Linked DNA regions of Oryzias latipes. Each later gene encodes a partner of the first gene's protein in a complex. Links are inferred from orthologs where the notes say so. Each region holds a gene or a part of one and is shown on either strand. Other genes may lie near its edges.

Evidence for each region. Proteins that work in one complex are often made in the same cells at the same time.
Region 2: taf1b (region 1) and tbp share a complex: the UniProt entries of both Homo sapiens proteins name them as parts of the transcription factor SL1/TIF-IB complex. The link is inferred for Oryzias latipes from reciprocal best matches to the Homo sapiens genes TAF1B and TBP.
Region 3: taf1b (region 1) and polr2k share a complex: the UniProt entries of both Homo sapiens proteins name them as parts of the pol I pre-initiation complex. The link is inferred for Oryzias latipes from reciprocal best matches to the Homo sapiens genes TAF1B and POLR2K.

What each region holds. Positions count from the first base shown.
Region 1 is NC_019882.2:22,300,517-22,303,450, reverse strand, and holds part of taf1b (TATA box-binding protein-associated factor RNA polymerase I subunit B), read left to right. Parts: intron 1-246; coding exon 247-344; intron 345-417; coding exon 418-510; intron 511-758; coding exon 759-864; intron 865-1,742; coding exon 1,743-1,896; intron 1,897-1,963; coding exon 1,964-2,063; intron 2,064-2,145; coding exon 2,146-2,293; intron 2,294-2,369; coding exon 2,370-2,544; intron 2,545-2,627; coding exon 2,628-2,665; intron 2,666-2,736; coding exon 2,737-2,824; intron 2,825-2,934. UniProt on the Homo sapiens protein: Component of RNA polymerase I core factor complex that acts as a GTF2B/TFIIB-like factor and plays a key role in multiple steps during transcription initiation such as pre-initiation complex (PIC) assembly and postpolymerase recruitment events in polymerase I (Pol I) transcription.
Region 2 is NC_019861.2:24,478,842-24,481,722, forward strand, and holds the end of tbp (TATA-box-binding protein), read right to left. Parts: intron 2,875-2,881; coding exon 2,707-2,874; intron 2,230-2,706; coding exon 2,135-2,229; intron 1,904-2,134; coding exon 1,824-1,903; 3' UTR 580-1,823; downstream 1-579. UniProt on the Homo sapiens protein: The TFIID basal transcription factor complex plays a major role in the initiation of RNA polymerase II (Pol II)-dependent transcription.
Region 3 is NC_019869.2:7,020,610-7,023,136, forward strand, and holds the end of polr2k (DNA-directed RNA polymerases I, II, and III subunit RPABC4), read left to right. Parts: intron 1-425; exon of another isoform or gene 426-620; intron 621-843; 5' UTR 844-849; coding exon 850-910; intron 911-1,624; coding exon 1,625-1,717; intron 1,718-1,841; coding exon 1,842-1,864; 3' UTR 1,865-1,948; downstream 1,949-2,527. UniProt on the Homo sapiens protein: DNA-dependent RNA polymerase catalyzes the transcription of DNA into RNA using the four ribonucleoside triphosphates as substrates.

The DNA.
Region 1 (2,934 bases):
CTTGTTTCTAAAGGTCTCCGTGGTGCATTAAAGCGTGTTTTGGTTTGTCTTCCTCCAGCATCCTCTGATCTTCAGGCTCCTCCATGAATCCTTGTTGCTTCTAAACTCTGGAACTCTCATTCAGACATTTGCTTCGTTTCCAGTTTTAGATCTTTGAAAATGCTTTTGGGTTCCTCTCAGTTTGATGGCAGTGCCCATCTGAAACGTTTGTGTTTCTTTGTCTCACACGTGTTCTGTGTCGTTCAGGTGGCCGTCACACATGGATGGTCTGTGAAGGTTTCCAGTTCATCCTGATGAACCAGGCGGATGCCCTGCTTAGGCTGGGAGTCCATCCTCACTTCAAGGTCTGAATCTGTCCGTATTGATCTGCCATCGATGCCTGAGCCCGTCTGATCAGTGTGTGGCTCGCCGCTTTAGGACGGCGTGCTGCGTCAGCTGTGGAGGCTCTACTTGCAGAAGAGCCGGCAGGCTTACTGCGTCAACCGAGTTAGGAGCGCCAAGTTCAGAGTGGTCAGTTTCAGTCTGTGACTCACCTTCCTTTGAAAATCTGTGCTGAGATAATCATATACATGATTTCAATGAGTACTAACACGGATGTTTATTTATTCATATGCTCTCCATGCTTTTTCATAACTGGAGGGATATCAGTTTAGTCTGAATTTTTAGATCCACTCAAATGCAGGAACAAACATAAATGTCTTCAGAGGAAGAGTGATGATGACTGCAGCAGCCTTCTGTTCTGTCCCCCCCCCCCCCAGGGAGACGCAGACTCGGATTCAGACAGCGCAGCCGAGGCGTCTGTGGCATCAGCCAGCGGGACGGATGGAGAGTCAAATCCCTGCAGCAGCCCCAGCTCTAAAGGAGGTATGTTTGACTCCCCCAGCAGGAGCAGCTGGGGTCAGCCATGAAGTCTTTGGTCACTGGACTATGGAGACGCCAGACCTCAGATCTCTGCCGTCTGGGGGACTACAGGGGGGTCTGACTTTGAAATGAGTGAATTATTATTATTATCTAATTATTGAATTAGACTACTGACAGAAAGTTGGAGATATTACTAATAACTAAAAATTAATGAGAAAAAAACATTTTCATTAGGTTAATATTACCCCTAAAATGAGGACAATAATAAAAATAGCCCCAAATAACAGAAATGTCAATAGTGGGTATTTGCAGCATTTGCATCAACAGCAGCTTGACAGTGACGTCTCCTCACCAACCTCATGGTGTTGGTCTGAACCAATCTTCCATAAGTGCTGCATGTAGTTCTGCAGCTCACTTGGGGGTGGGATACCATCATCCAGTCTGCTTCAGCTGGTCCCAGACGTTCTCTATGGGTTTCAGGTCAAGGGTCATTGCTGGTCATACCACATGAGCTACTCCCACTTCCTGAAGTCCTGCTGTGACAGTACTGGTACCATGTGATAGGGTGTAATCATCCATGAACAGAAAGCTGGGGGTGTTCTGGTGGAATTGGGGGATGAGAATGGTTCTATGATGTCTCTGAGGTTAGAACATTCAGTGACTGGGTCATTTACAATAACCAAATCAGTTTGACCCTGACTGGTGATACCTGTCCAGACTGTTACACCTCCTTCCCCAAAGCCAACCCTGAGGACCTTTGACCTCGGCGTATCGCTCACCACGTCTCTGTGTATATCACATCCACTGAGTTTGTTGTTTTTTTCACAATATCCATGACGTATTGTGAGTATTGTATGTTGAAATGTAGCCTAATCCCTCAGGCAGTGACTGGTCTGGATCAGCGGACAGCCTCTGTTACCTGACTCCCCGTCAGAGGCGGAGCCATAGACTCCTGAGCCTGAAGAAGACTCTGGCCCTGATCCACTTGGCCTTGGTCTGGAGCCGGGAGGCGCTGACTCTCAGCGACCTGCTTGGGTAATCTGCTCCTCCAAACCAGGCGTTGGACTGCTGGATGTTGGGCTGATCCTGTGTTTGCTCTCAGACTGGTGAACTGTGGAAGCGTCCCGTATGTGAAGGCCCATGAGCAGCTCCCAGAGCAGATGAAGCTGTTCGGCAAAGATGCTCTTCTGTTTACTGCAGAGGTAACGACCTGGAGTGAGTGAGCTGCTGACCTCTGCCCTGTGTTCTCCTGTTTGTTGACGATGTGGTGAACTGTCTCTGCAGACGGTACCGTCTCACCGCTCGCTGCATAAGGAGGCTCAGGATCTGCTTCTGTTCCTGCAACTTCCAGCGTTTCCTCCCATCAGCCAGCAGACTCTGCTCCACCCGGGGCCACTGAGCCTGCGCTACCTGATCGATGCAAACCTGCCCGGTAACAGCTTCCTCCGTCCCAGCTGACAGACAGACATGCATGCTGCGCGGGCTGAGCGGCTCCTTCCTGTCTGCAGGTGAGCTGCACAGGTGGGTCTGCAGAGTGGCGGAGCTCGCAGGTTTGTTCCATGAAAGCCGCCAGACGTTCCACCCCGAGTCCCAGCCCACCCTGCCCCGGTACGACCTGCAGGCGGCAGCGCTCATTATCGTCACCATGAAGCTCCTCTTTGGCCTGGACGACCACACCGAATGGTAACCCCCCCTGCCCTGCCCTCCCCACCCCCCTACATCCATTCCACAGACAGGTCGTCTCACTGCGGTTCTCCTGGTTTCAGGGAGCTGTCCAACAACGCCAGGTCCACAGACGGAGAGGGTCCGTGAGTGCCCCCTGTGTGTGAGTCCTCTTGGTGGGGGCTCTTCAAGCTCATGCTTTCTCTCTGACAGGGGCCCAGTTTAACCTGCGAAGGTGGTACAAACTGATGCAGACCGCTCTGAACCGAGCTCAGCAGAGGAGGGACCAGGACACAGCCAGGTGAGGTTGTTCCTCGGTTCCAGTTTGTCGGACTCCTGCAGATCCTTCAGGTCACTTCTGGCAATATTTTTAAATCTGACTTTTGGGCGCTTTAAATTCTAATAGAATTT
Region 2 (2,881 bases), on another chromosome or scaffold:
ATCTGAAAGATGGAAAACCTAGATGTTTGAGGAGAAAATTTGTCACAAATCCAAAAACCACAAATACAACAAACACCAAAACGGAAAAGTTTGGAAACATCTTCAAATTCACGAAATGACAACTTCAACCGAGTAAACTTTAAACGTGACCTTATTAGCCAATACAAGTCATGTGCCACTACAGACCAGTTTGGGCCGTTCATTCAGATGCATCTCCAATAACAGCAGCTGTTTTACTGCTTATAAATAGAACTAAGAGAAAACCATTGGTTCTTTTACCTTACATATTGTGCTGTTGAACCACCATGTTACTCAAATTTCAAAGTGTTCAATTTAACAATACTTACAGAAAACTGTATAAAAACTACTGAATGTCATGGATCTGATGACCTATGAACTCTATAGGTTTCCACCCAATGTGACCGATTCAAGTTTCTTTTCTAGACTTGAAGAAATTGAAGGGGTTTTTTTTACTTCAAAAAATTTCCTCCAGATAGTTTCAGATAAATAAATGAGTCTGTGGCAAACACACTGCTTAAAGTAAAAAAAACCTCAGATGTTACAAAGACAAAACTCTGCTTTATGAACAGGATGTATGAACACGTTTATTAACGCACAGTACAGCTCTAACAGTTGTGGAGGAACAGGTATCCAAATGGAAAATGGATTTCTGGTGACAACATCCATAATAAGTGGAACAGACGTTAAGTTGAAACTTATTTTAAAAGTTTGGCTTCTGAAAGGTAATCCTTAGGTTGGTTAACGAGAAAATGAAATCAACAAGTGCCAGAAACTCAAATCAAAAAGTGATAAGTACTTTTCTAAACAAAGTTTTGCAAAAAGAAAGAAAGAAAAAAAACCAGGACAAGCAGGAGCATTTACACTGTTAACTCACTCTCTGCAGAGATTTATAGAAAAAAACAAACTCCTTTGTCTTGGTGCATTTAAATTGAAGACAGACTAATGAACATTATTGTTTTGAATGCCTGTTAACATCATTTTTCCAAGTTTCCTGTTTGCTTTAAGCTTTTTGGAACATCCTATCAACTTTGAATGACTAATAATTGAAAATAAGTTATATACATTTGTACAAGTTTTACAATAAAGCACATCTGATATCACAATTATGCTCAGTTTCTTCATAAAAAATAAAAAGCTTCAAGCAATGATGGAAACATGGGGTGACTTTGACTGGTAAAGGCAAATTATTGCAGAACAAACTACAGTCTGGATCGGATAACTCAATTATTGAAATGGTTTCTATTCGTTATAAAATGAGGGCTTTCACTGTAACCTGGGGACAAGTATGGCTTCAGTTTAATTTGAAATTTGAAAAGTTAATCGATTTTGTGGCAAGATTGTTTACAAGGGGTTGACCCAAAAAATAAGGAGAAATCATTCATAAATCGAGTAAAGATAGAAAAAAATCAGTTTGCAATATATACAAAACCTGAAACACTGAAATAAAACCAGGAAAAGTCCCGGTCTACCTGCCTTTTTCTTCAATACTTTTTACATTTTCGTACAATTCGATGTAAGAAAACTTGCCAGCGAGGAAGAGAAGAAAATGTAAAAGCTAAAAGCAGGTAAAGTTCCGGGTGAAGATCAATTGTGATGAGGAAACGAGCAGAGGACCTTTAAAATGTCTTTTTGGTTAAAAAAAAAATTAAGGGAAAGACAAATAGTCTTTCACATTCAAGTCTTTACTGTCAACTTGAAGAGGTCAATATTAAAATGTTAACATCTCAGTGAATATTAAAGAAAAAATAGACAGAAATGTAAAAAGTTATAGCGTTTGGATAGAAAACAGGGAATTATAAGTTCTACGTAGTCTTGCGGAATCCTTTCAGGATGGGATAAATGTTTTCAAAAGCTTCATAGATTTCTGCTCTCACCTTGGCACCTAAAAATAGAAATAAATACAATAAGTTAAAAAACAGAAGGTAAAGCTCATCAAAAAGAATTTAAAAATCTGTTTTGGAACTTCAATTTTACATCAACAAAATTCTAAATACTTCACGGAGAACAAAGAAAAAATAGAAAAATGCTAAATAAAAGTGTAAACAATAAGTACATACAGTTAACATCCTGTTTTACTCACAATAGGAAACAAAAAAGTCTAGTGAAAACTTACCTGTGAGTACCACCTTCCCAGAAACAAAGATAAGCAGCACAATTCTAGGTTTGATCATTCTGTAAATCAGGCCTGGAAAAAGCTCCGGCTCATAGCTGCAATACAAATATTACCTCATTTTAGAAAAGCAAAATAAAACCAGGAGAATAAAAAAAAAATATATAGTTTGCCATCTGAGTGTCAAACTTCTGTCTGTGAGTCAGATTGTGGTTTAGGATTTTGTTCAATTCTGACCTGCTTATCAGATTTACAGACACTGCAGGAAACCAGTTTAAAAAATGGATGGTTTTGGAGCATTAATAAAATCTGATGCATACATATCATTGTGGTGCTTGTTCAGTACATTTATATCATTTGTCATCCATTCAGATTTATTTTTTTACTTAATATTTTCTTTTATGTTAAACATATATGTTTAATACCTAAGTTGGCATGTGTGTCAGCACAGCTGTCCCAACATATTTTCTTATCAATAACTGTCAATAGTCGATTAAACTGTCACATTTTTGAAAAGCCTTTCAGGGATTTTTATACGGATTCTTTAAATCTGCAGTAAAACAAGGAGAAATTACCTGCTGAACTGCTGATGTGTGAGGACCAGTCCTTCCAGACGAATGGGAAACTTGACATCACAACTGCCCACCATGTTTTGAATCTTGAAGTCCAAAAACTTTGCAGGAAAACCGAGCTTTTGCACCACACGGGCATATTTTCTAGCTGCTAACCTGGACTGTTCCTCACTACAAA
Region 3 (2,527 bases), on another chromosome or scaffold:
TGGATTACCAGAACACTCCAGGTATGGGATCCTGCTCTATTTGAAGAAAGGTTTCAAATTTTAGAATGCTTTGTGTCCCGAAAGTCCAGAAGTTTTCCCTCCCCTGATCTAGTTGGATAATCTAGGATGCACTATTAGGGTAGTTGTGATTATAGCATTATGTGGTGTCTCTAAATTGCCCCTAGGTGTGAAGGCTTAAAATAAGTAATTTATTTGAAGTATTTTAATAATTTATATTACTGACCTTGCATCAGAATAAACTTTATTAAGAACTAAATGCAATGTAATAGACCCTGTGTTTTTTTCACTAAACTTTATTGCACATTTTTCAATCTACAGAAATTCACATTCAGTGACACAATAAAGAAACAATTGCAAATATCATAAACACATATAAAAACCAAACAACAATAGTAATTGGCCCTGTTTGTGTCTGTGACAATGAGCCAACGCACATTTCCTGTTTTAACATTCTATGCCATCATTGGTTCAGTCAATATAGTGGATCGACTTCTAGCCAATCATAACCCCCGTTATTTTAAGGTGACTGACTGTACAGCGCATGCGCAAGTTGCAAGCCAGTGAGACATGAGAAAAGCTAAGAGTTGTGGAAGCTAACGGTAAAAAAAACAATCGTAACTATTGTTATTCTGCTTGCTGTAAAATATTTTCTTTGGGGTTATTGATTCTATTTTTCCCACCCTGTTTGTTGTGGGACGATAACCTTTTGTTTGCTAAACGCCCCGTTTGTGTTGGTGTGGGCAGCTCTCTTGTTAGCAACACCATGCTTGTTCCGTTCAAACGATAGATGAGGCATTTTATTTCTTTTTTCGTTCTTTACAGGTGAAAATGGACGCACAGAAAGATTTGCAGCCGCCCAAGCAGCAGCCTATGATCTACATTTGTGGAGGTATGATGGCACTGTTTATGCAGTTAGCATAGCAATAGTAATTTCATCATCATGATGTTTTCCCATTTCCCTACACTACAATAATTACATTGAACGCTTTGATTTATTTATTTAAAAATTTTCAGGATTAAAGAGGTTGAACGAACTTTATAAAATATAGTACAGTTTTAAATAAAAAGAATGATTTAGAAAAAGGAAAACCTGTTTTCTACATTTTAGTAAAAGCACAGTCCTTTCACAATATTATTAAAGTTTTGCTAAATTAAATTTCCTCATGATGTGATCTGAAAATAGGATTATATAAATGTTTTTGCTGAATTGTGTGAAACTGTTAGCAAAATGTCTTCGCCAGAAACCAAAAGCAAACAAGCCTCAGAGATCCAACTTTTTTAACCGAACAGTTGGCATTAAATGTAGGATGCAGCTACTTTTTAAGCATCTGATAGTAGAAAGAAAAGATAGAAAGAAAGTTTTAAAAACAGACTCCATTTTTTAATTGACTCACACCCATTAAGTTGGAAATATTTGGGGCTCACTGCATCTTTTGCCAGTAGGACTGTAAAATTGATTCTTCAAACGGGGCTCTAAGTCATCCCAAAGGCCCTAAAAATGTCTAAATGACAATATTTGTGTTTATTATTACTGTTATACGTGTTGCTTCTCTCGGGCCTCTCTGAATTACATGTACCAACAGTTTTACTTTTTTCCTTTCAGAATGTCACACTGAAAATGAAATCAAGGCTCGAGACCCCATCAGGTGCAGAGAGTGTGGCTACAGGATCATGTACAAGAAGAGAACAAAGAGATGTATCCTTGTTTTTGGTCATAGTGTGGGTTTGGAAAATAAACAACTCTTTATTTCCACCAAAGATTATTAATTTAAATAAAATTCCTCAAATGTTTGAACTTTTCCTTGACTTTTTCCCCCCAGTGGTTGTTTTTGATGCCCGGTGAACAGGATGAATGAAGCAGATTTAACTTTTCTTTGGTTCAGTATTTAGTGTGTGAAATTGTAAATAAAAGGACACTTAAGCCTGACTTTTGATTTGTTTCTCATTTATTTTAGTATTCTCTTGTTTTATATTGTTTTCCATCCATCAAAAAAATTATTACATATTTGTAATCAAATTACAGATATATTTTTACAAGTCATGGGTAATAAACTGCAATAGAATCACAAACGAAATACAAGAATGTTTTTTTTAATGCACTGTACTTTTACTTTAGTGAGAGTGTAATAGAAAACAAAAATACTCTTAGTGGACACTGGTTGTGTTGGTCTAGATTTGTTTTTCATTTACTTTAAATTAGAGGATTTATTATTACCAACATTCTGATCAGTGTAATAAAAGATGATTTTATACACCAGCTGGTTGCAGCACAAGAATTATTGTTGAGGACTGTAGCTTCTCCCAAAATTTCAGTTAAGTGGTTGTGGAAGGTAGTTTCAAAATGTAACACTTTACAGATTACTAGTTAGTTTATAACTGCTAACAGCTTTTTTTGGTAGTGTAAAAATGCTCATTTTTGTTTGACAGTACTTTATTTAAGCTCAGAGACCATTCAATTTTTTTCTTTTTTTATGTTAGACCATTTTCTTTGAAATTTAGATGGTTA